Arabidopsis thaliana: one gene and its partner. The protein of the gene in region 1 interacts with the protein of each later gene in a pairwise test. Each region holds a gene or a part of one and is shown on either strand. Other genes may lie near its edges.

Region 1 (9,823 bases):
AGACAAATTGTGGATGAAAGTGATATAGAGAATGGGAAAAAAAGGTTGACAAAGTTTATTTTCCATGGATTTTAATAATGAACCAAATTGCAATAAGACATGATCGAAGTAATTAATAAATAAAAATTTATAAGATTTGACACGGTTAAATACTAGGGATTTCAAAGATGATAATTGAGTAGGGTTTTTAAGAATGTAACTTACTTGCTCCTCAAGCAAGGGTTTCTTATGACGGAGATAGCTATAGAGTTGGTGATTTACAGCGACCCGTGCCAATTTCTCGGTATCTACGTTGACGGCTCGGAGCTTGGTCAACGGACCAGGTGCTTCTTTAGGGTAGAGCTTAATAAAATCATAGATTATACCCATATTTAGGATCGAATCTCCTAAAAGTTCTAGGAGTTCGTACGATTCACTCTTGTCATCAACGTAACTAGCGTCTGTGAACGCTTTCAGCAACAAACTCTTGTCTTTGAACTTGTAATTTAAGATCTTCTCCAAGGATTCGATCTCCATAAGCTGGTCCGGATCCGCTGATCCGATGGTTTTGGTGTTATCTTTACCGTCGATTGCGTTTGAGAGTTGCGATCCCATAGAGACAAGAGGTGGGTTTGAGGAGAGAGAGATATGTCTTTGGTTAAGTTTCTGTTGTGTTTGTGTCTTGTTCATCTTAAGTCTTCGGTTATGATACCCTTTTTATACACGTCTTAATATATTTGGTATGACTTCTTCAATATTGTTATAGTTGTCAATTGTCATCCTTCTATTATTTTAGTTATTAAATATAGTAGATTCTCATTAATTTTTAGAAGATTTTATAATTGTTTAGAATTGGTCGTTATCACAGCAGATTTTGACTAGTTAATTACATATATATCATATACTTCCTCTGTTTGACACTTCAATACCATTTTAGGTTTTTTGTTTTTATATCATTAATAATATTACATTGTATTTTAAAAGTCAAATTTTATTTTTAAAATCTAGTTTATATTTGCAATGAAGGTTTTATCAATTAGTGATAATAAATTGCTGTTTTATATCTTAAATAACGAAGGGTATAATATAACTAGAAATTAAAACGGAAACTCCCACGTGTTTGGATTTTGGTTTAGATACTTTAATCGAAGCGGACTTGCATAAACTCTTGCTAAAAAACACTTATTTACTAAATCCGAGTATCGATGCGACGATACGGCGATGCTATTAAAAAATAGAAATTAAAAATAGAAAAAAGCAAAATAAAAAGCAATATAACAATTTTGGATATTAGTGTTTTTTTAATACAAAAATAACAATTATTCCAATTTAATACTAAAATAGATAAAAATATTTTGAAATGCAAATTAGGTTAATTTACAAATCCTTTTAGGAATAAATAATTTATAAAGAAATGAATTTGGGATGGAAACGGAAAAAAAGAGAAACAAAATAAAAGTTGACTTTGACTTTGTAAGATTGGGTTGCTGAGTAGTCAGTCCGTGGGACCGGGACAATGAAATTGAATACCACTCATTGACTAAGAACAAATTAGAATAATGGATTGGATTCATTACCATACACAATATTTGCAAAAATAATGTGGTAATATTTTTCCGTAAATAAATTAGATTTCACGATTTTTTTTAAAAATACATCGGTAATTCAATTTATTTTTACACTATCTATATATACATTTTTGCAACCATTTTAGCAAATAAATCCTGGACTTGAACTTATTTACAATCTAATGCCATTAGCATTAAATCTTTTTTCCAAAATAATTAATTTTATTTTAAATTTTTGATTTAAATAGTCAATCACATTATCAATCAAATTTAATCCCAACAAAATTCAAATCAATCCCTTAAAATTAGCATAGACATTTGTTAACAATATTTTAAAACAAAGTTTTTTGTTAAATAAATATTATTCTTACTAACCGTTTTTTGTTTAAATAAATAAATTTTGTATTTAAACTTATTTACAATGTCATGTCACTGACATTAATTATTTATTAATGAAAATATTTAATTAAAGATTTAAATCTTCTAAATCCTTGCTTTTAGAGTTATTATGTCATTACCTTATAAGCAAAAATATTAATTTTTTAAATATTATTATTTATATATTTAAAATTTATAAAACATTATTAATATTTAAACTTATAAAAAGTTTGATATATCACAATTTTTTAACATCATTATATAATATATAGAGTTTAAAAAAATCTTAATTTTTTCTGTCACATTTTATGATTCAAAATTTTAAAAATGAACATATATTAACCAATTGGCAAACAATGTGTGGGTTCAATGTCCTGCATCGACAAAAATATTTAGAGAATGATTTATAAACATATCATAAATAAGATCAATATTAATATAAATAAATGATTTTTTTACAGGACAGGTTTGGCGGGACGGGTTTGGCAGGACGTTACTTAATAACAATTGTAAACTATAAAATAAAAATATATTATAGATAGATACAATTTGCAAAAAAAAAATTATACTAACTTTAAATTAAAATCTAGTGTTATATATGATTTTTGTATTTTCTAAAACTCACACGAAAAAAAACATGACTTGTTTACGAAAATGCCGTTGCATATATACCGAACCAAACCGAGATTCGATAACTTCGGTTATGATTTGGTTAGTAGGGGAGCTAAATTAATGAACTTCAAAGCATAAAATACAATTCATTCCACAATACAAATACGAATAATTGTTTAGTCGTCCTCTCAAGAACTATATCTATAAGCCATATTTCTTACACCTCAGATTGTTATTCAACTAAGAGCTGAGTAAGAAAAAAAAAGGATCAGAAGCAACAAACAATTGAACCCATGATTCCATAAACCTGAAAAAAATGTTATAATTAAGTATTCACTGATGATATTGCCCTTCTTAATCATCGTGCTTAATCTTCTTCAAGGACTGATCCTGATGCTCGAACGGATCGATACAATTCTGCTGGATTGTTTGAAAGTATGTCTCGGTGATAGAGAGCAGAAAGTGTTCAACTACCCGAAGTTTTACCGGTTGCAAGAGTAACTGAAGATGAAAATCGGGGGACGAGCACTGCCTCGTTGCTTACGGATTTCGAAGCTGCTAACTCTTCCAAAAGCTTCCATGTTGCTTCTCGTTTGGCTACAACCTCGGTTTCATTCGCTTCATCTTCTTGGAACTTGGCTAAGCATTCATCAAACAGAATTTGGTCTGTCTCTGCCATTACCTTTCTCACATTCAAAGTCAGACTCTGAACTGCTTGGTTCCAATGCCCCCGTGTGTTTCTCTCCATAGCCGGGAACACAATGGGCATTATCACTTTATGGTTTTGAGTAATCAGGTTTCTTATGTGATCGTTGTTCCATAGAAATAGAGCCCTTTCAGCCACCTGACAAAAGAAGCAACTTTGAATATAACCTGCAAAATTGCGAGACTATATGAACAACTTATCGAGAGTCGCACCTGAAAATGTGAACTGTTGAGGCATCTAGCGATTTGACGAAATAAAGGAACCATACATCGCTGAAACTCAGCTGCTTGAGTTGCTTCCAAAACTTCTTCCAACTCTCCAAGAAACATAACTTCCTTTGAACTATTAGTCACAGGCCAATACTTTAGAAGTCCTCTAATGACCGTATCAGCAAGCTTGAAGTCTTTCTCTACAAACTGAACAATGCAATAAGAAAGCTGTTGATGATAAGCAGATGCACATTTAGGTCTGTGGAGTGGAATCAATGCCCGGATTAGGAAGAGCTTATGCTCTTCTTTTAACGGTAAAGCGAAACCGTTGATTATACTTCCTAGTATCTCAAGCAACTCTGCAATACCGTTATGCTTTTCGGTTTCAAAAATGAATCTGTAGAAGATATTGTTGATCGCCTTTCTGATAAAGGGTCGGTGCACCATGAATTTCCCGTATATCCGATGAAGAATGGTCTTTAGATATTCCCTCTCTCTCTGGTCTTCAGAGTCAAACAAATCCAAGAGCTTCAAGACAAATGAATGGTCAATATATCTCTTTGCAAGCTTTGCATCAGTCATAGGCGAGGCCACAAATCTAAGAAGAAGCTCATAGACAACTTGAAGATGAGGCCAAGCCGGCTCTAAAGCAGGTTCCTCATCATCCACATCAAGCGTTTCGAGAATCTTACTCTCGTGATTCGCAGAAGGAAACGTCCTGAAAAGATTAACAACAGCCACTTTCGCAATCTCTTGCATTGCAGCATCACTCAACTTTGTAGAAACCGTTGCAATATAATCAACAAGCTCAAGCAAAGTCTGTCTCTTTATCTCTTTCTCTCTCAGATTCTTCGACGGATCATTGAAGTCGAACACAACGCAACACATACTCAACTTCTTGATAAACAGATTAGGTTTCTCCGAGGTAGGAACATCTCTAAAGCTTGGCAATGCTTCATAAACTCCATTGACTTGATTGGTTCTGTTAGAGCTCGTTGAAGAAGGAGCAATAACAGTTCCATTTGCTCCATTCGAATTCGATGCGGATGATTTCGAAGAAGGCTTCGAGATACTACTAATACCCGAATTGGGAATGTAATATGAATTAACCCCACCTTCTCCGTTTGGATTCGAGTCATTATGCGAAGATTTTGAAGGTTTTCTGGGCAATTTCCCAAATATCTGTTTGATCATAATTACAGAAACCCTAAATTATCTCCCCACAAAAGGGCCAAAACCCTTCCCTTTTTTTCTCTACTTCGCAACAAGCCTAAACTAAACCAGTAAAACCCAAAAGCTTTGGTTCTAAATCAAAACCCTAATCATTGAACACAGCCCTGCATGTAGACAAAGCCTAAATTCATAATCGGAAACACAATCTCATAAACAGAATCAAAGATTAGCTTAAGAAGATCCAGAGAAAACAACAAAATGTAAACTTTGGAGAGAGGAGGAAGAAGAGGAGCTTACAAATGGCAGATGAGTAGAGAGAGAGATCTGGGCACTGGAGATGAATGAAATCAAGAGAAACCCTAAGAAAATGGCGAGCTTCAAGTAAAAAAGGAAGGATCTTTGTGATAAACCCTGTAAAAACAGCTACTTTTTCTCGCCCTAAACTGAATCGAGAGCAGAGGAAAGAGAAAAAAAGGGGAAAAGGCAACGAAGCCCAGCAAAGAGAAAAAAAAAATCTGGGAAGTTACAGAACACACAACACGAAGATTAAGGTTGTAATGAAAACTAAAATAGGAAAATAAATTAATAATTGTCCTTCGCTATCTCTTCCTCTGTAGATTTTCACTGTAAATCTCAATATCTCTGGCTTTCTTTGGATTCCGAATAACAGACATTATAGAACTGTTTACAAAAAAATAAAATTAATTTTCCAAAAAAAAGGTTTTGAAGAGAACAAGGAAAATGACAGATGGGCAGGTACGTTAATTACCATTATGTCCCTGATATTAGGAGAGCGTATGTGTGTGGAATTTATGCAGAAGCTGGTCAATTCGTCAATTCACGAGTCCAAGGATATAAGTAATTTGCTCATTGGATAATATTTTTTCGATTATTCTTTCTAAAAGATATGGTAGTAGCTAGTCGATTGAAGAAATAAATAAATTATGCAAAAGCTAAACTGCTAAAGTTATTAATAAATCTGAAGAAAAGAGTTTGATAAATCTACGAAAATCCAAAGCCTCTAGAGCGTTGACCAGATAGTTAGAGACTAAAGTCAACGATCAGGTTCAAAAACACAAAAGCAAAAAAAAAAAAAGAGAGACATAAATCGAAGGGATGAGTTATGTAAGTCTAGAATTTCTGGATGACGACGGCATTAGCTATACCAGCTTGCTCGATGGTTTGGTCCAATTCTGTCAATTGTTTAGGAGGGAACCCCATGGTTAGCAACTGGTACTCTTTGGAGCCACCGGGTCTAGAAGCGTCGATAAACCCACGTACATCTCTGACAGTGTGGTGGTTGTTGAACCTGGAGACAAGGCGTGTTCCGTCTGCTAATCTGAGCTGGATAGAGGTTGTCGGTGCTGCTGGATCTACAACTAGCCCTCTTGATGGTGCTGGTGCTACGTTCATTGGGGCAGATGAAGCTTGTGGTGCTGAACTTGAACCAGATCCGCTGGCTCCTAGGGTTCTTCCTACACCTTGGAATGGATTTTTAGGCTTTGGTGGTTCCTGTGAGTCAAAAGATACAGACGTTAAAAGAATCCTATGAGTGGCTTCTCCAGAGAATAGGTTAACGAGATTATTATTGATAGATGGGAATGAGACTTACGGTGAAATTTTCTCCACGCCTGACCAGATCGACATGAACAGGGATCTTCTTATCTGCTGGTTCGAGTTCGCTGGGGCACTCTGACCTTGAGATGCTCTGCAAAAGACAACATATATATTAGGGATTCAAAGACTATCCAAGTGAGTAAAGACAAGTATCAAGCTTGATTTCCATGGAATTGTAGTTACTAATTAGAGAAAATCTGGACATTACATTCATAAAGGCTGCGTTTTCAGGGTCACTGAACCCTCTTAACGGACCATCATTAACAGTGAAACCATTCAACCAGAAAGTGATGGTGTGCATAATCCTTTGAGGCTGCTCTTGCTGTTGTTGCTGAGGAGAAGACGAAACAGCTTCACCAGACAACAAACGCGCAGCTCCAGTGAAGCTTGTAGAAGCTGATCTTGATGGTTCAACAGGTCTGTCTACAGCTGACTGCCTAGCTTGGTCAAAAAGTTCATCAACATCTTTCACTTTCTTAGGATCTTGTACCATCATCCCACTACAACACATTACACAATCCAAAAACAAAACTCTATTAGCGACACAAACATACACTTTCTCCAGCTATATAAGAATTTCAAGAAAGACAATTCAGCTACATACACAAGATATGGTCAATCCCTAAACTATCATTGATCTACGCACATTGCTCAAGTTCATGATCATGTTGCCCTAATTCACTTTCTCAACAGTATTATCATCTAAGTATTTTCCAAACTATGATCAGATCTGTTGAAAATTGTACCTCTTTTGTCCACCGGTATAATACTCATTAGCTTCATCCGAATCACTGCCCTCGCCATCAGCCGGAGAACGGTTCAGATCGGCGAATGTACGGATATTCCCAGCGTGTTGACGACTCCTAGAACTCCGAATTCCCGACGGATTCTCAGTTTCTTTATTCTCTCCAGCACCGCCTCTCGATCGGAGACCGTAGGGAGCAGCGCGAGAAGACGGAGAAGCAGATCGTGATCGGGAAGGAGAGGGAGAGGTTTCAGACGGAGTGTAATCGGGAGAGTGAGATTGAGAAGGAGATTGTGCACCGGCAATAGTAGAAGAAGGTGGTGGTGGCCCGGTAGGGTTTGGTTCGGCGGCTGCGGCGGCATCGTTATCGAGGAAAGTTGAAACGGCAGCGTCTAGATTCCAAGTGTGACTTTCGAGGAAGAAATTAGCTTCTTCTCTTGATGAAGAAGTGATCTCGATGAAGGAGTTTATCAGATTCTCGTTCGTCTCCGTCGCCATCGTCTTCTCGAAGCTTCTTCTGTTGCTAGATTGTTTTTTTTTTCTTTCGTAGCTTTCTGATTTTTTTCTTTCTACTATTTTAATTTTACTATATATATGTAAATATTTTCCTTTTTTCACCGTCAAACTTCTCTCAAGTCTTAACAACATACGTTTCGAATAAACGGTGATGTTAATGGGCCCAAAGGCTTGGCCTTTTAGCCTTACAAAAGGCCTTTTAGTATATAACAGCTAAATTTTCAAGGAAGCAAACTGAGAAGAAACCACATTTTGTTGTTGCCTTTGTATAAATGACTCGTCGTGTTCATTGATCATTAGGTTCGGATTTATCGAGGAACGTCAAAGAGTGGTCGGGGAAAAGAGTCTACTAACCATTGCTCTATCCACATGTTCCGATTCTGTGATAGAGACTTGTAAAAAAGTGTATGTAGAAAGAGAGCATTTTTGAAGTTAGAAATCGAAAACTAGGAACTGGATTTACTGTACCCTTCTGGATAATGATGGTTTGAGATGTGTTGATTTTTTTTTTTGGCGTGTTTCTGAACAATGTGTTTACTAAGTTGGATATTGAAAAGAAAAAAACAGCTAGATATTGAAAATTTAGGAACTAGACTTACTCTATGTTTGTTGAGGACTATGGTTGTTGGAGATATACCAAAATTTGATAATATCAATATTCAATTTCAGCAATAGTTTCTTTGTGTGATGGCATTTAGTTGATCCAATTAGCAATTACTGATGGAAAGTTTTTGGCTTACTAAAATTCAACCATTAGTCTAACCTCACTTACTAAAATGCAACCACTATTATTTTAGTGAGGTTCCATACCCCCTTTTTGAACAAATCATTTTGACCATTTTAGTAATTTTTGGACTAGGGCTCAGTCTCATATTCGATGTGAGACTTTTAACAAACAATCCTCTTAGAAGTTTTACCAGTTGGTATATGCCACTATCATTTGCTCTTTTTTCTTTCTCATAACGTTTATATTTTCTTTCTGATTTTTTATTTTATTTCTATATATATAACTATATATTTCAAAATTATTTCCCCTTTTATAATTCATAAACGCTCTCTAAAATTTTAAATACAATTAAATCAATCTTCAATATATGTTTTTTTTTGTTTGTTTAGAAGTCGAATTATATTACTATCACCAATTAAATATTACATAGTCGTCTATTTTAAGCATTTGAAGTTTTATTTAATTTACTAATATGAATGAATTAAATAAACATTGTTAGCAGACTTTATTTTTTCTTAAATTAAATTTTGTTCCTAGTGTGGACACATGGATAGGAGTTGAAACTTGTATCAACGATTCAACTACCAGTTTAAAAGGACACATCTCTGATCCATTTGTCTCTTCCATCTTCTCCTCTTGTCAAAGTTTCCTCAATACTTCAATCTTGTAACCCGTTGACTTTTAAAGGAAGACGATGGAAGCGAAGCTAGAGGTGACCGGGAAAGAAGTGATCAAACCTGCTTCACCATCACCTCGTGATCGCCTTCAGCTCTCTATCCTTGATCTCTATTGTCCTGGAATCTACGTGTCGACGATCTTCTTCTACGATCTCATCACCGAGTCCTCGGAGGTTTTCTCGGAAAATCTGAAACTCTCTCTGTCCGAGACTCTCTCACGCTTCTATCCACTAGCTGGACGAATAGAAGGCCTTTCCATCAGCTGTAACGACGAAGGAGCCGTCTTCACCGAGGCACGCACCGATCTCCTTCTTCCTGATTTCCTTAGAAACCTCAACACTGACTCCCTGTCGGGATTCCTCCCGACACTAGCTGCTGGAGAATCTCCAGCGGCCTGGCCGTTGTTGAGTGTCAAGGTCACTTTCTTCGGGTCTGGATCAGGAGTGGCGGTTTCTGTCTCTGTCTCTCACAAAATCTGTGATATAGCCTCATTGGTTACCTTTGTAAAAGACTGGGCTACCACCACGGCCAAAGGGAAGTCAAACAGTACTATCGAGTTCGCTGAAACGACTATTTATCCTCCTCCTCCTTCTCATATGTATGAACAGTTCCCATCAACGGATTCCGATTCTAACATCACAAGTAAATACGTACTCAAAAGATTCGTCTTCGAACCTTCTAAGATTGCTGAGCTGAAACACAAGGCCGCTAGCGAAAGCGTCCCTGTGCCTACACGTGTTGAAGCTATCATGTCACTTATCTGGAGATGTGCTAGAAACTCCTCACGCTCTAACTTGTTAATTCCAAGGCAAGCCGTCATGTGGCAGGCCATGGACATTCGACTTAGGATTCCATCTAGTGTTGCGCCAAAAGACGTGATTGGTAACCTACAAAGCGGATTTTCTCTCAAGAAAGA
Region 2 (12,301 bases), on another chromosome or scaffold:
GACTTGTTGACAGTTGCTGCAAGTCTAAATATGCAAAGATTAAATTAAATAATTTGAAAAGGAAGATCTTGTGAAACATAATTCATTGTTCTCTATTTTACCATTTGAACTTTTTCACGTGTATAAGGAACTTTTTGAGGTGGACGATCTTCAGTTGGATCACGGATTCTGTCATTGTTCTTTGGTCGATTTTTGGAAATTAATATCCCATTAATATTTAATTACTGTGGGGTTAAGTTTATTAACAGGTTTTAGTTCAGGGTTTGTTTTACTAAAAACATAGTTCAGGGTTTAAAAATGGATCTGGCCAAAGTTGAGGGTTTTTTTTCATTAAATTCCCTTTAAACTAAAGCTAAGATTAACATATTTTCCTTATCATATAAAACATTTTTGAATGATTTCCATATATGATTTGACATTTAATTGTTTTGGGAACTTAACATATATTTGGTTGTTTAAAATAATAAACTCGGTTGTTATTTTTATTTTTATTTTAATTTTAAAATAGAAAAGAACATATAGAGTTAGTATAAGACTTGGTATGTATGTTTTGTATAATATATCTAATATAATCCTTTTAATAAATTTAACTAAATATTTATGTAAATAGGATTAAATGTATATGAAATAAGATATCACATAAACATGTAGTAGAGCAATAAACAAGAGCTATAAGTGTAATATAATAAACAAATATAAATTGCTACAACACAATATAATACAACATTAAAACTGAGCTGCAAAAATAATAATCATATAACATAATTTACGCTATGATATATTTACATAACATAGCATAGCAAAAAAAAGCTATTGTATGTGACCGACCTAAGATAGTTCCAGCAAACACAGCGTTTATGAATTCGCTATATAAACAATATTATAGTGTTTTCCGTGTGCTAAGAGTGCCCATATTTCTTGTAGTGAAACAGATGAGAGAAGGTGAATGCAAAGCTTGAAAAAACAAAAATGCAAATTTATTTCAAGAGTTCTGATCTGATTTGATTCATTAATAACCATATCATCCATGACATTGTGAACAATTGTTTGTTTCAACATGTTCATATCGTCCATGTACTAGTCTACTAGATTCGAACAAATGGATGACTTAAAGAACCACCAGCTTAAAAACACACAAATAAAAGTAAGTTTGGATAACTGTATATGCTTTGTGAAAACCATATATATCGTCGGCCAATTGAAAATCATCAAGACTTGTTGCAGGCTTGGGAAACCATCACAACCAGCAACACCATAATAGATTTAAGGTTCTCTAAACACTTTCAGTTCATCTACTTAGTTTCGGCCATAAATACTTGTCCATTAACACTTGTCCATAAACACTTATCCACTTAGATGGTCAAAGGATATTGCTTAGATCAAGTTCACTAAACATACTTAATAACACTGAATAGTCAACATACTTGCCATCATCCATATATACAATCTTTGATGGACATCTTACTTGTCATGTTCTTCTCTTTTATTTGAATCAGATCAGATCAGAACGCTTGAATTAATACATCTGCATTTTTGTTTTTTCAAGCTTTGCATTCACTTTCTTTCACATGTTTGGATGATCAGTAGTTATAAATATCGGTATAGTATATTTGTGCAAGTACCTTTTAAAATCCATTTAATAGTAAACAAATGTTCGATCGGAAATGGATAAACTGTCATATAATTATTTACTTAAAATATAGTAACAATGGATCTTAAAATGTAGGAAAAATGAATTCTTGATTTATTATATAAGAAAACAGACAAAACACTTTATATTAAGTAACTAAAATAATAATAAGAGAGAGAATGAGAGAGAGAAAAAAAAAAAGAGGACCGTTATTTTTGAAAGATAAAAGTGTATGGTATGTAGTTGGGGGCGTTTCGGTAATAACACAGGAAAAAAATTGTTTTGGAAGATGAAAGTGTGGGAGTGTAAAATGAAAGATGAAAAAGTATGTGAGAGTGTAAAATGTAAATAACTCAAAAACAAACTAGAGTTCTATGTCCATTGTTTCTCTCCCATTATCTTCATCATTCCCACAGCATGTCCAAAGCTTTATGGTGCGGTCATGCGAAACACTTGCGAGACGAGCTATCTACAGCGATATCAAGAGATGCGACTTTTGACTCATGTCCTACTAAGCTTTTAACAAGCGAGAAATCTCTACCTGACCATATATTAACGTTCATGTCGTGTGAGGCAGTAGCCAGGAAATAGCGTTCTTGTGGTTCGTACTTTACTTGAGAAACGAGGTTCACATGAGCTGGTATAATATACAACAACTTTCTCATCCGTAGATCCCAAATACGGCATTGATTATCTTCACCACCAGATGCCAAATGATAACCATTAGGAGAGAAATCCACCGAGAGAACCTGTTTGATATGTCCTTGGAAGATAAGAATATTCCTAGCCGTACGAAGATCCCAAACTCTTGCAAGCGAATCAAAACCCGAAGAAGCTACTAATGATCCATCTTGTTGAAATGCAATTCCGTAGACACTACGACTATGACCTTCTTGTGTTAAAGCATCTCAACTCCTATGTTTATATCCCACAATCTCCATGTTTTATCAAAACTCGTTGTCCGGAGGCATCTCAACACTACGACTATGACGGGTGGAATGCAATGCGTGCAAGACGATCTGAATGACCTTTAAAAGTTTGTAGAAGTGTTCCATCCGTTTTCCATATCTTTTCAGTTCGATCAGTAGAAGCAGTTGCTAGACATTCATCATCCACAGACGAGAACACTACATCAGTTACATGTTCTTTATGACCTTTCAAGACAACAATCTTGTTTGTAACTTGAGGCACCTCCCACAATTTAGGAACCCCACTAAGAGAACATGTGACGAGTATTTTTCCATCTCGTGATAAGGAGCAACCAGTAAGAGGACGATCATCCCCAAATTTACTAGAACCAAGAACCATGTCTTTACAATGCTTTAAAGCCAATTTAGTCTCAGCATTTTTATCTTCATCTGGATCATTCCTTCGCCGATTTTCACGCTGAATCCTTAGAGCAGCTCTCTTTATAAAATCTTTGGTAATTTCTATTCTAGCCTCTCTAAGCTCTGTTGGACCCATTGGTATAAACAAACTTTTGAAACAAGATCTAGAAGAAGCTCGTGACAAGACTAGTTCACTTAGAAGACAAGAAGGTTTGGCTTACCAAAGCTCTTATTTATAGCAAAGTAAACGAGATGGATCAGAAAGAAAGAAAGGAAATCTATTAAAAAAGTGGGTTATTGGGGTTAGCTTTGAATTGTGATTTGTCTCTTAAGTCTAAATTCGATAGGAAGCAGTATTTTTATCCAGATCTTCTTCAAGGTTATCAGATTTGGATATTCCTCTTGAGTTTGGTGGTGGACATAGGAGATTTTGGTATTACTAGGGTTCATATGGAAGAAGATGCTGGCAAGTTACTTCATTCAGACACAGGAGATTACTCTCAGGTTCATATGGAATTTATGACAAGTTTCAGTTTGGTTTTATCAGATTCTTGTATTGGTTTTAGGCTTCAGCTGCAAGATGTTTGTGTTTCTTATGTATTAGTTGGTTACTCTAATGGTGCAAGTAGATTTGAATAGAGCAGGTGTTCTTGAACATGATCTGAGAATTGGTATAGATGCTGCTGAATACGCTTGTGAAATGCAACAGATTGCGAGGTCTTTGGGAGTCAGTAATGGGAATATGCAAGAAGGCTCTCTTATTCCTTTTCAAAAACAATAATATTCAACTCTTGCAAGTTGCGAAACATGGGAGCCTAAGCGTGTAAGAATAACCCACTGAAACTCATATATTGCATGAGATCACTCACCTTTTAACCTAATCCTAGACAGACTTATCTGCCTTTTAAAAAAGACATTTTAAAACAGAAACAAACACTCTTTTATTTTGCTCCATAACTTGTGTATTGCTTCCTTCACTATTGCTTGCTCAAGTTTCTGATAACATATGGAAGTATGCCTCCATGGTTAAAGTATGCCAATTCCACCTGCACATTTATTTTACCATTATTAGTTCCTTCACATTGAAAAGCTTTTTTTCACTAAAGATTGGAGTATTTAGTTACCTCTGTGTCGAAGCGGACTGTGCAAGTGAAAGATTTTCCGTTGTCGGTAGTGACGGTAACATCTTGGCCAGGTCTTATCTCTGAGATATCGGTTGGGAGATGGATCGTGTAGCGTTCGTGACCAGTCAATCCAAGAGTATCTGCGTCTTCACCGGACTTAAAGCACAATGGGATGATTCCCATTCCCACCAAGTTGCTTCGGTGAATCCTCTCAAAACTCTTTGCAATCACCGCTTTAACACCCTGACAATCCCAAACTTGTTGTTTCAGAATAAAACAGTAAGATTGGTTTATGCGGAAAGAAACTAGAGAAGCGGTTCTAAACCTGTAGCATGGGTCCCTTGGCAGCCCAATCACGTGAGCTACCACTTCCATACTCAGCTCCAGCCAGAATAATTGTGTCTTCACCAGATGACTTGTACCTCTGATACATTTGACATTATGATAAGGAGACATTCGACATGATCAACATACAGTCAGTAATACAAATTTTAATTAGATAAATACAAACCATGGCAGCGTCAAAGACTGAGAGCTTCTCTCCAGATGGAATGTGAACAGTCTTAGGGCCAACTTCACCATTCATGAGCTTGTTAACGATACGGATATTAGCAAAAGTACCTCTGGCCATTATTTCATCATTCCCACGGCGACTTCCATATGAGTTGAAGTCCTTACGGTCAACGCCACGCTCCATGAGAAACTTTGCAGCAGGACTGTCCTTTTGGATGTTTCCAGCTGGTGAGATGTGATCAGTGGTGATACTGTCCCCAAAATTGAGTAAACAGTAAGCATCCTTCACATTGTGTGGACCAGGAGGATCCATGGTCATGTCCTTGAAGTATGGAGGCTCGTGAATGTAAGTTGAGTTGGGATCCCATGAGTAGAGGGTATTCTCAGGAACAGACAGCTTATTCCACATGGGGTTACCCTTGGTGATTGACTCGTACGTTGCTCGGAACATGTCAGGCAAAACACTGGATTGAACAACCTGATCCATATGTCAAAAGATTAGTTTAATATTTGTGTATAAAAAAGATGTTATTGTTCTCTGGTTAAGTCGTATATACCTCAGCAATTTCTTCCGTGGTTGGCCAGATATCTCTTAAGAAGACGTCCTTGCCATTCTTTCCTTTGCCAATAGGCTCCGTTTCAAAGTCAATGTTAACCTGGAAAATAAGAAAGAAGAACGCCAAAATTACCAATGTGATAATCAGTCATGTGTCATTATCTCATACAAAATGTAAGTTGAACTTTGACAAGTTCTCAAGATTTATTACCGTGCCAGCAAGAGCATAGGCAACCACCAACGGAGGAGATGCAAGGTAATTGGCTCTTGTTAGTGGATGAACACGCCCCTCAAAGTTCCTGTTACCGGATAGCACAGCAGCCGCCACAATGTCTAAAACCAAGCAACACAAATATTGAAAACAAATCAGCTACTTACTTATATATAATAGTAATATAAAGGATGGAAAGTCCAAAGTAAGTTTAGTTGGGAATCTCAATAATACCATTTTCGGTAATAGCAGCTCCCACTGATTCATTAATTTCCCCAGAATTCCCGATGCATGTAGTGCACCCGTAGCCGACAATATTGAAACCCTGTTCATTCAGATATTCTTGCAATCCACTGCATGGAGTAAGATGTTACACTTAAATTTACCATCACATAAGAAAGAATTAGCCTTTAACAACGAAGAACTAGATAAAAATACGACATACCTCTTTAATAAGTATTTTGTAACAACTCCTGAGCCTGGAGCAAGACTTGTCTTTATCCAAGGCTTAACCTACAGAGGCAAGTTTTTGAAAAAGGGATCAGAAAATGTCGAGGCATCAGATAGATTTCTAGTTTGCTCTCGTGAAACCAACCTGTAGCCCAAGGTCACAAGCCTTCTTTGCAACAAGACCAGCACCAAGCATGACGCTGGGATTTGATGTATTAGTACAGCTTGTGATTGCAGCAATCACCACACTTCCATGTTTAAGCTCTGCTGGTTGTCCATCGAACGAAAAATTTACCACTTTTTCTTGTGCCTCTTTAGGTATAGCAAAACCCTGCGGAGAATGAATAGCAATATTCAGAAATAAACATTGATTTCCAAAATGTGCACCAACAACCCAGTCTATAGAACGAGTAAATGGTTAAGAGATTAGACATCCACAAAGTGAAACATCCAGTTACATACCTTGAACCCAACTTTACTGTCAAGACATGAATGCCAGTCAGCTTTCATTTCCTTCAAAGTAACACGATCATGTGGCCTGCAAAGAAGATATCAATAATATGGTCATGACCAATTATTCAGACAATAAACTTCGCGATTACAAAAACCAACAGAACCCATACCGCTTTGGTCCAGAAATGCAAGGTTCAACATCATCCAGATTCAGTTCTAGATATGACGAGTAAACCCGGTCTTGCTGAGGCTGAAATTTATTCACAAGCAAAGTCAAATAAAAACCTGAAAGGAGATTAAGAAACAAAAAAAGAAAGAAAGTATAAGGCTAATTTACCTCATTGTAGTCAACAAACATATTGTTAGCCCGAAGATATGCTTCAATCATAGCCACCTGCCATGAAAGTATTGTATCAGACCAGATATCTGAATATATATAGAAGGAAGATTAAAGTCAAACACTCACTGTCTCATCGCTTCTTCCAGTCAATTTGAGATATTGTAGAGTAACATGATCCACAGGGAAGAAGCCCATGGTTGCACCATACTCGGGAGACATATTGGCAATTGTCGCCCTGTCAGCTAGGGACAGCCCACTCATGCCATTACCTAAGAAGAAAAAAGTAGACTTATAATGCTCCAACAAACACATGTCTATTATAAAAGAGCAAAACACTTAAGAGCTCACAAGGATATAATTACCATAAAACTCAACAAACTTTCCAACAACGCCATGCTTCCTCAGCATTTGAGTCACTGTTAGAACCAAATCAGTAGCTGTTACACCATTACGCATTTTTCCGGCAAGTTTGAATCCAACAACACCAGGCAATACCATACTCATGGGCTGTCAAACCAAAAAAGCGTTATCAGTATAAGAAAAATTCACAAACCTCACTGTATTGGAGCAGAAGAGTCATAAAATATAGTGATCTAATCTAAAATTCAGTAAAGTTGACTCCAGATTAACCAACATCTGATGTGCGTCATGTAAATAATCAAAATAATTTACCTGGCCAAGCATTGTTGCCTCAGCTTCAATACCCCCAACACCCCATCCAGCAACTCCCAAACCATCAATCATAGTTGTATGTGAATCAGTTCCAACCACGCTGTCTGGGTAGAGAAGGCCTTTGGTATTGAACACAACTCTTCCAAGATATTCCAAATTGACCTGAATTTTCAAGATGAGGTTAGTTTGAGACAAACTTCAAGACAGATAAAAGAAGATAATAAATGAAAAGAAACATTTCAATACACTGGAAACATGAGGTTGAAAAGGATATATATCAATGTCAGAACAAGTTTAGAAACAACTTATGGACTCGCACACTTTAAAAAAGAGAATTACCTGATGCACAATACCAGAGCCAGGAGGCACAACAAGCATGTTCTGGAACGCAGTAGAACCCCATTTAAGGAAAGCAAACCTCTCCTTGTTCCTCTGGAACTCAAGCTCCATGTTTGCTTGCACTGCATTCTCTGATCGAGCTACATCTACTTGAACCGAGTGATCAATCACAAGATCCACCGGAACCTGAGAGACACAGTATAACATAAGAAATCTAAAAGAACCCTAACCTAAACAAAAAGCATCAATCTGTGGCAAACAAAAACATACCAAGGGATTGATTTTGTTGGAATCACTTCCCAGCTTATTCATCGCATCACGCATACAAGCAAGGTCAACAACAGCTGGGACTCCCGTAAAGTCCTGAAGAAGAACACGAGCTGGTTTAAAAGGAATCTCTACTTGTTTAGGAGATGTCTTTTCCCAGTCAATAATCTTCTCAACATCTTCCTTAGTAACTTGAAAGTTATCACAATTACGAATCGCAGATTCAAGCAGAATCCTAATAGAGTAAGGAAGTTTATCTGCAAATACAACACTCCTCTTCAGATTCTCAGGTCCTTCATAAACTCATTCAAAGAGAGATTCAAAAAATCCATACCAACTCGTGGATCGTTAAGAGCAGGTAAGCTATAGAACTTTCCGAATTCACCACCACCAGGCTTAGGAAGTGTAGTGAAGATCCCTTTAAACGGATGCTCTGACGCTGAAACAATCATAATCACAAAACAGTTACTACTAATCAACAGAGATCGGAATAAAAAACTCAAGCTAGATCAATCAGATCGAGATATTTTACCCATGGAAGAGAAGGTTCTCTGGAGACGATCTAAGACTGGAGAAACAGCTCTGATCTGAGAGGTGAAGCGAAACGGAGATGGTTTCGAGTGAAAGGAATGGCTCCAGCGACGGAAAGCAGGGGAAATGGTACCAAAAGATCTACGAGCGAGAAGAGACGACGGAGAAGTAGATGAAACGGAGGGAGATAAAACCGATCGGAAAGAGAAAAGAGAAGAAGAGCGAGAAGAAGCAGCTCGGATGATGGAGGAAGAAGCGGAAGATGAAGCGGTTAAATACATGATGATGAAATCACGCTTCCAGATGCAGATTCAGATACTGACAGAGAAGATGAAGAAGATAAGGTTATTGATTGATCAATTGGGATCGATCATGGAGGATTTTGAATCTGACGTCGGAGTGATGAATGATTGAAGAAGCGAGAGAGAGAGAGAGGCGTGTGGAGACGAAACGAAAATGCCTAGGGCTGCGTGCCAATAAGTCAATCTTCCCTCTCTCGCAAGGGAATATTTTTTTTTGTTTACGGTATTTTTTGGATTTTAATCTACGCAGCCCCTCTCCTCCACATAATTTCTATTTAGCCCCTATTATTAAAATAATATATATTTTTATTTATTTTAATTTAAATAATTACTTAAAAATCAAATAAATCTCATAACATTTTTACCTGTTTGAAAAAGACAACGTAATATATAGTTTCTTAATATATAATCATATATATATGAAAATTGGTCAACACTCTCCATATGAATGACACACCATCACACAAAAGCATCACACAAAAGTTTGACATATATCATTCTATATTTTTAAATTTAAAAAATAATAAAATTAAAGGTAATATTAGTAGATAACCAAATAAAACATACAAATTAAGAAACTAGCAGAGATAAAGTTTTTTGTTACAAAATAACCATGGACCCACGTTGTCGGAAGAAAGGAAATAATAAAGCTATCCTTTATTTGTTGTAAGATGAAAAGTAAACGAAACACATCCGTGTAATTTTTCAAAATATCATGTAACATTAAAATTTCACATGTTATATTTAGTTTAAAAACATGCTATTTCATAATACGTTATGAATTTTTTTTTTTAAAACATTATTATGAAATTCTTTTACATGAACAGAATCTTAAAACAAAAATTATATGTGATTTTAATAAAAACCATGTATTACTAAAAAATAAGAATATTTTTAAAGAAATCACGTGTGATCTCAATAAAAAACGTGTATTACTACAAAATATCATGATAAAAAGATATATTAAACTGAATACAATGTTTTTTCCAAAAAATAGCATGTGCTTTTTATAAATACTATGTAATAAGAGAAAATAACAAGTGTTCTCCAACATGTTTCCGACAAGATACTGTGACTCAAGGTTAGTTTGTACATTCTTTTCAAATCTATAGTCATTTATTATAAATACTCTAAAATTAAATGTATGATTAATCCTATTCTTAATTGATTCAAAATAAAATAAAAAAAAATTATGTTAATAAATTAAGCACTACTTTCATTATACTCTTTATTTTATTAAATTTTTATTATCAATAATCACTACTAGATAATGACTTTTTTTTGTGTTGTAGTTGTTTGCTACCAAACCTCTTATTAGTTTAGTATATATTATTCTCATGAACATATTTTCGTCATTAGTTTTCTAACGTTGTCCTTCGCGATTCATCATTAGTTAGACCGATACAGATTTCTTATGTTAATCTTATTTAGAGATCTAAAATCTACATATACATTTTTCAGCTACTTTAACAAATAAATCTTGTACTTGAACTTATTTACAATGTCATGCTATTGACATTAATTATTAATAAATGAAATATTTAATTAAAGATGTAAATCAAAATTAGTTTGGTAAAAATTGCTAAAACACTGGACACATCTTTACTAATATTACGGCAATGATCATTTAGAAATCTAATCATATATATGAAAGTTGGCCAACTCTTTCCATATGAATGACACATCATCACACAAAAAAATGACATGTGTCATTCTATATTTTTTAAATTAAAATATTAATCATATTAAATAAGCAAATTAAATGTATCATCAATCCTACTCTTAATTGATTTTTTCAAGATAAAAATAAAATAAAAAATTATGTTAATAAATTAAGCACTACTTTTATTATACTCTTTTTATTTTACTAATTTTTTTGTGTTGTACTTGTTCGTTACCTAACCTCTTATTAGTTTAGTAATTTTATTTTGAGTCTTTGATAACATTGACACTCAAGTTTTTTCAAATAATAAACCTTTAAAACGTTAGACTTACCAAATAATTTAATACACGATCATTTCTCTTATATTGATATATGCAATGAGAGAAGATCTAAAAGTATTGACTTAAATACTGCTTTAATTTATGCTTTTTTTTTTAATTCTTTTCATATGAATACTTTTGAAATCTTGTTCAGTTTATATCAATTCTATATATTTAATCATGAGTCGATAACACTAATTAACTAGATTTTAACCCGCGGTATACCGCGGAGACAATTTATTTCCTTAAAGTTAGTATATATAAAAGTTTACAAATTTTATCTATCTATAAAATATTTTTATTTTATAGTTTACAATTGTTATTAAGTAGCTTCCTGCCAAACCCGTCCCGCCAACCCGTCTCGTAAAAAAAACTATTTATTTTATTAATGTTGATCTTATTTATGATATGTTTATGAATCATTGTCTAAATATTTTATAATTTTGTAGTAATTAATTGCTATCAAATATCTTTACGGTTTGCTGCTTATAATCGAATTGTTATAGTCATAAAAAAAAAGCAATATCAAAAATGATAATTTTGTAGTATTTAAATGATATTAAATATTTTGGAAATTTTATTTTAGTAATTAATCGTATAGTTAATGCAGAGAGATTTTGGAAAGGTAGTTAAATGCAAATATTTAATTCGAAGATTTACTTTCTAATTATCAAAAACAATTATTAAATGCCGGTGGCAGCCACTGTAAATAAGTCTCAACTTGAAGATTTATTTCACAAAGTGGCTGCAAAAATGTATATGTAGATTTCAAATAAACCATCACATTATCAAATAATCGTGCAAGGTTTGATATTATGGTCATATTTTGTATTATTTATTTGGTTTATTTTGTATTATTCTCACATAAAGAAAAAAAAGTTAAAGTGGTCATCGTGTTATAAAAAAAAAAAAAAAGTTAAAGTGGTCATGTTTCATTTTCTTGAATATTATCTACTGGATTTTGTGATATCGAGTAAAAAGTTACCATTTTACTGTAATTTCGATTTTAATGTTTCTATGTTGGCAATGTCAATTAGTTTTGAAAAAATATTCAATATGTTAACCCAAAAATCTTAATGATATCAATTTAGAGTTATATGATGGGACGGGTTTGGATTGATATTATTACAAATTTATAGTATCATCAACCCAAAGTAATAACACGGTTTAAATGTAATTTTAATATTTTATCAGCCTCAGTTTCTTTTTTTCCAGCACTAATAAAAAATTATTAACTTTAATACTAAATAAAAAATTATGAAATCTAATATTATTATATTTACTAATAAAAAAAAATTGCACATCATATAGTTTTGTACATTGAGAAAAATACAAAACAATAGGTTATATAATAATATTAATTAATTAAGAAAATTACAGTTTGATTTTTTCTAGAAAAATATAGTACCGCGGGTTAAAATCTAGTGCTAATTAAGACTACATACAAAGATAAGAGTTATAGAACTACAAATAAAGTGGCATCTAAGTAGAAAACAAAGTAGAATAAATAAAAATTACAAAAGACATAAATTCTTAAACAAAAATATTGAAATGGGCATCAAACACGGAGAGCCTGAACAAACTCCTGATAGATGTCGACAA

Evidence for each region.
Region 2: the proteins of ATB' GAMMA (region 1) and ACO3 interact in a two-hybrid assay, tested with the Arabidopsis thaliana proteins (one study listed by BioGRID).

What each region holds. Positions count from the first base shown.
Region 1 is NC_003075.7:8,812,530-8,822,352, reverse strand, and holds ATB' GAMMA (Protein phosphatase 2A regulatory B subunit family protein), read right to left. Parts: upstream 5,432-9,823; 5' UTR 5,395-5,431; intron 5,323-5,394; exon of another isoform or gene 5,307-5,322; 5' UTR 4,923-5,306; exon of another isoform or gene 4,790-4,922; 5' UTR 4,647-4,789; coding exon 3,456-4,646; coding exon of another isoform or gene 3,382-3,455; coding exon 3,004-3,381; 3' UTR 2,626-3,003; downstream 1-2,625. Other genes in the region: RTL1 (RNAse II-like 1), read right to left, coding at 205-669; PUX5 (serine/threonine protein phosphatase 2A 55 kDa regulatory subunit B prime gamma), read right to left, coding at 5,757-6,137, 6,238-6,333, 6,451-6,742, 6,989-7,485; BIA1 (HXXXD-type acyl-transferase family protein), read left to right, coding at 8,925-9,823.
Region 2 is NC_003071.7:2,137,985-2,150,285, reverse strand, and holds ACO3 (aconitase 3), read right to left. Parts: upstream 8,958-12,301; 5' UTR 8,696-8,957; coding exon 8,416-8,695; intron 8,323-8,415; coding exon 8,218-8,322; intron 8,141-8,217; coding exon 7,887-8,140; intron 7,803-7,886; coding exon 7,617-7,802; intron 7,440-7,616; coding exon 7,278-7,439; intron 7,113-7,277; coding exon 6,968-7,112; intron 6,875-6,967; coding exon 6,732-6,874; intron 6,660-6,731; coding exon 6,603-6,659; intron 6,516-6,602; coding exon 6,436-6,515; intron 6,351-6,435; coding exon 6,275-6,350; intron 6,144-6,274; coding exon 5,958-6,143; intron 5,876-5,957; coding exon 5,808-5,875; intron 5,716-5,807; coding exon 5,597-5,715; intron 5,485-5,596; coding exon 5,363-5,484; intron 5,252-5,362; coding exon 5,153-5,251; intron 5,074-5,152; coding exon 4,594-5,073; intron 4,507-4,593; coding exon 4,408-4,506; intron 4,326-4,407; coding exon 4,083-4,325; intron 4,005-4,082; coding exon 3,936-4,004; 3' UTR 3,608-3,935; and 1 more. Other genes in the region: AT2G05720 (Transducin/WD40 repeat-like superfamily protein), read right to left, coding at 2,071-2,465, 2,659-3,094. UniProt on the Arabidopsis thaliana protein: Catalyzes the isomerization of citrate to isocitrate via cis-aconitate. Contributes to oxidative stress tolerance. Modulates cytosolic citrate metabolism during lipid mobilization. Required during seedling growth.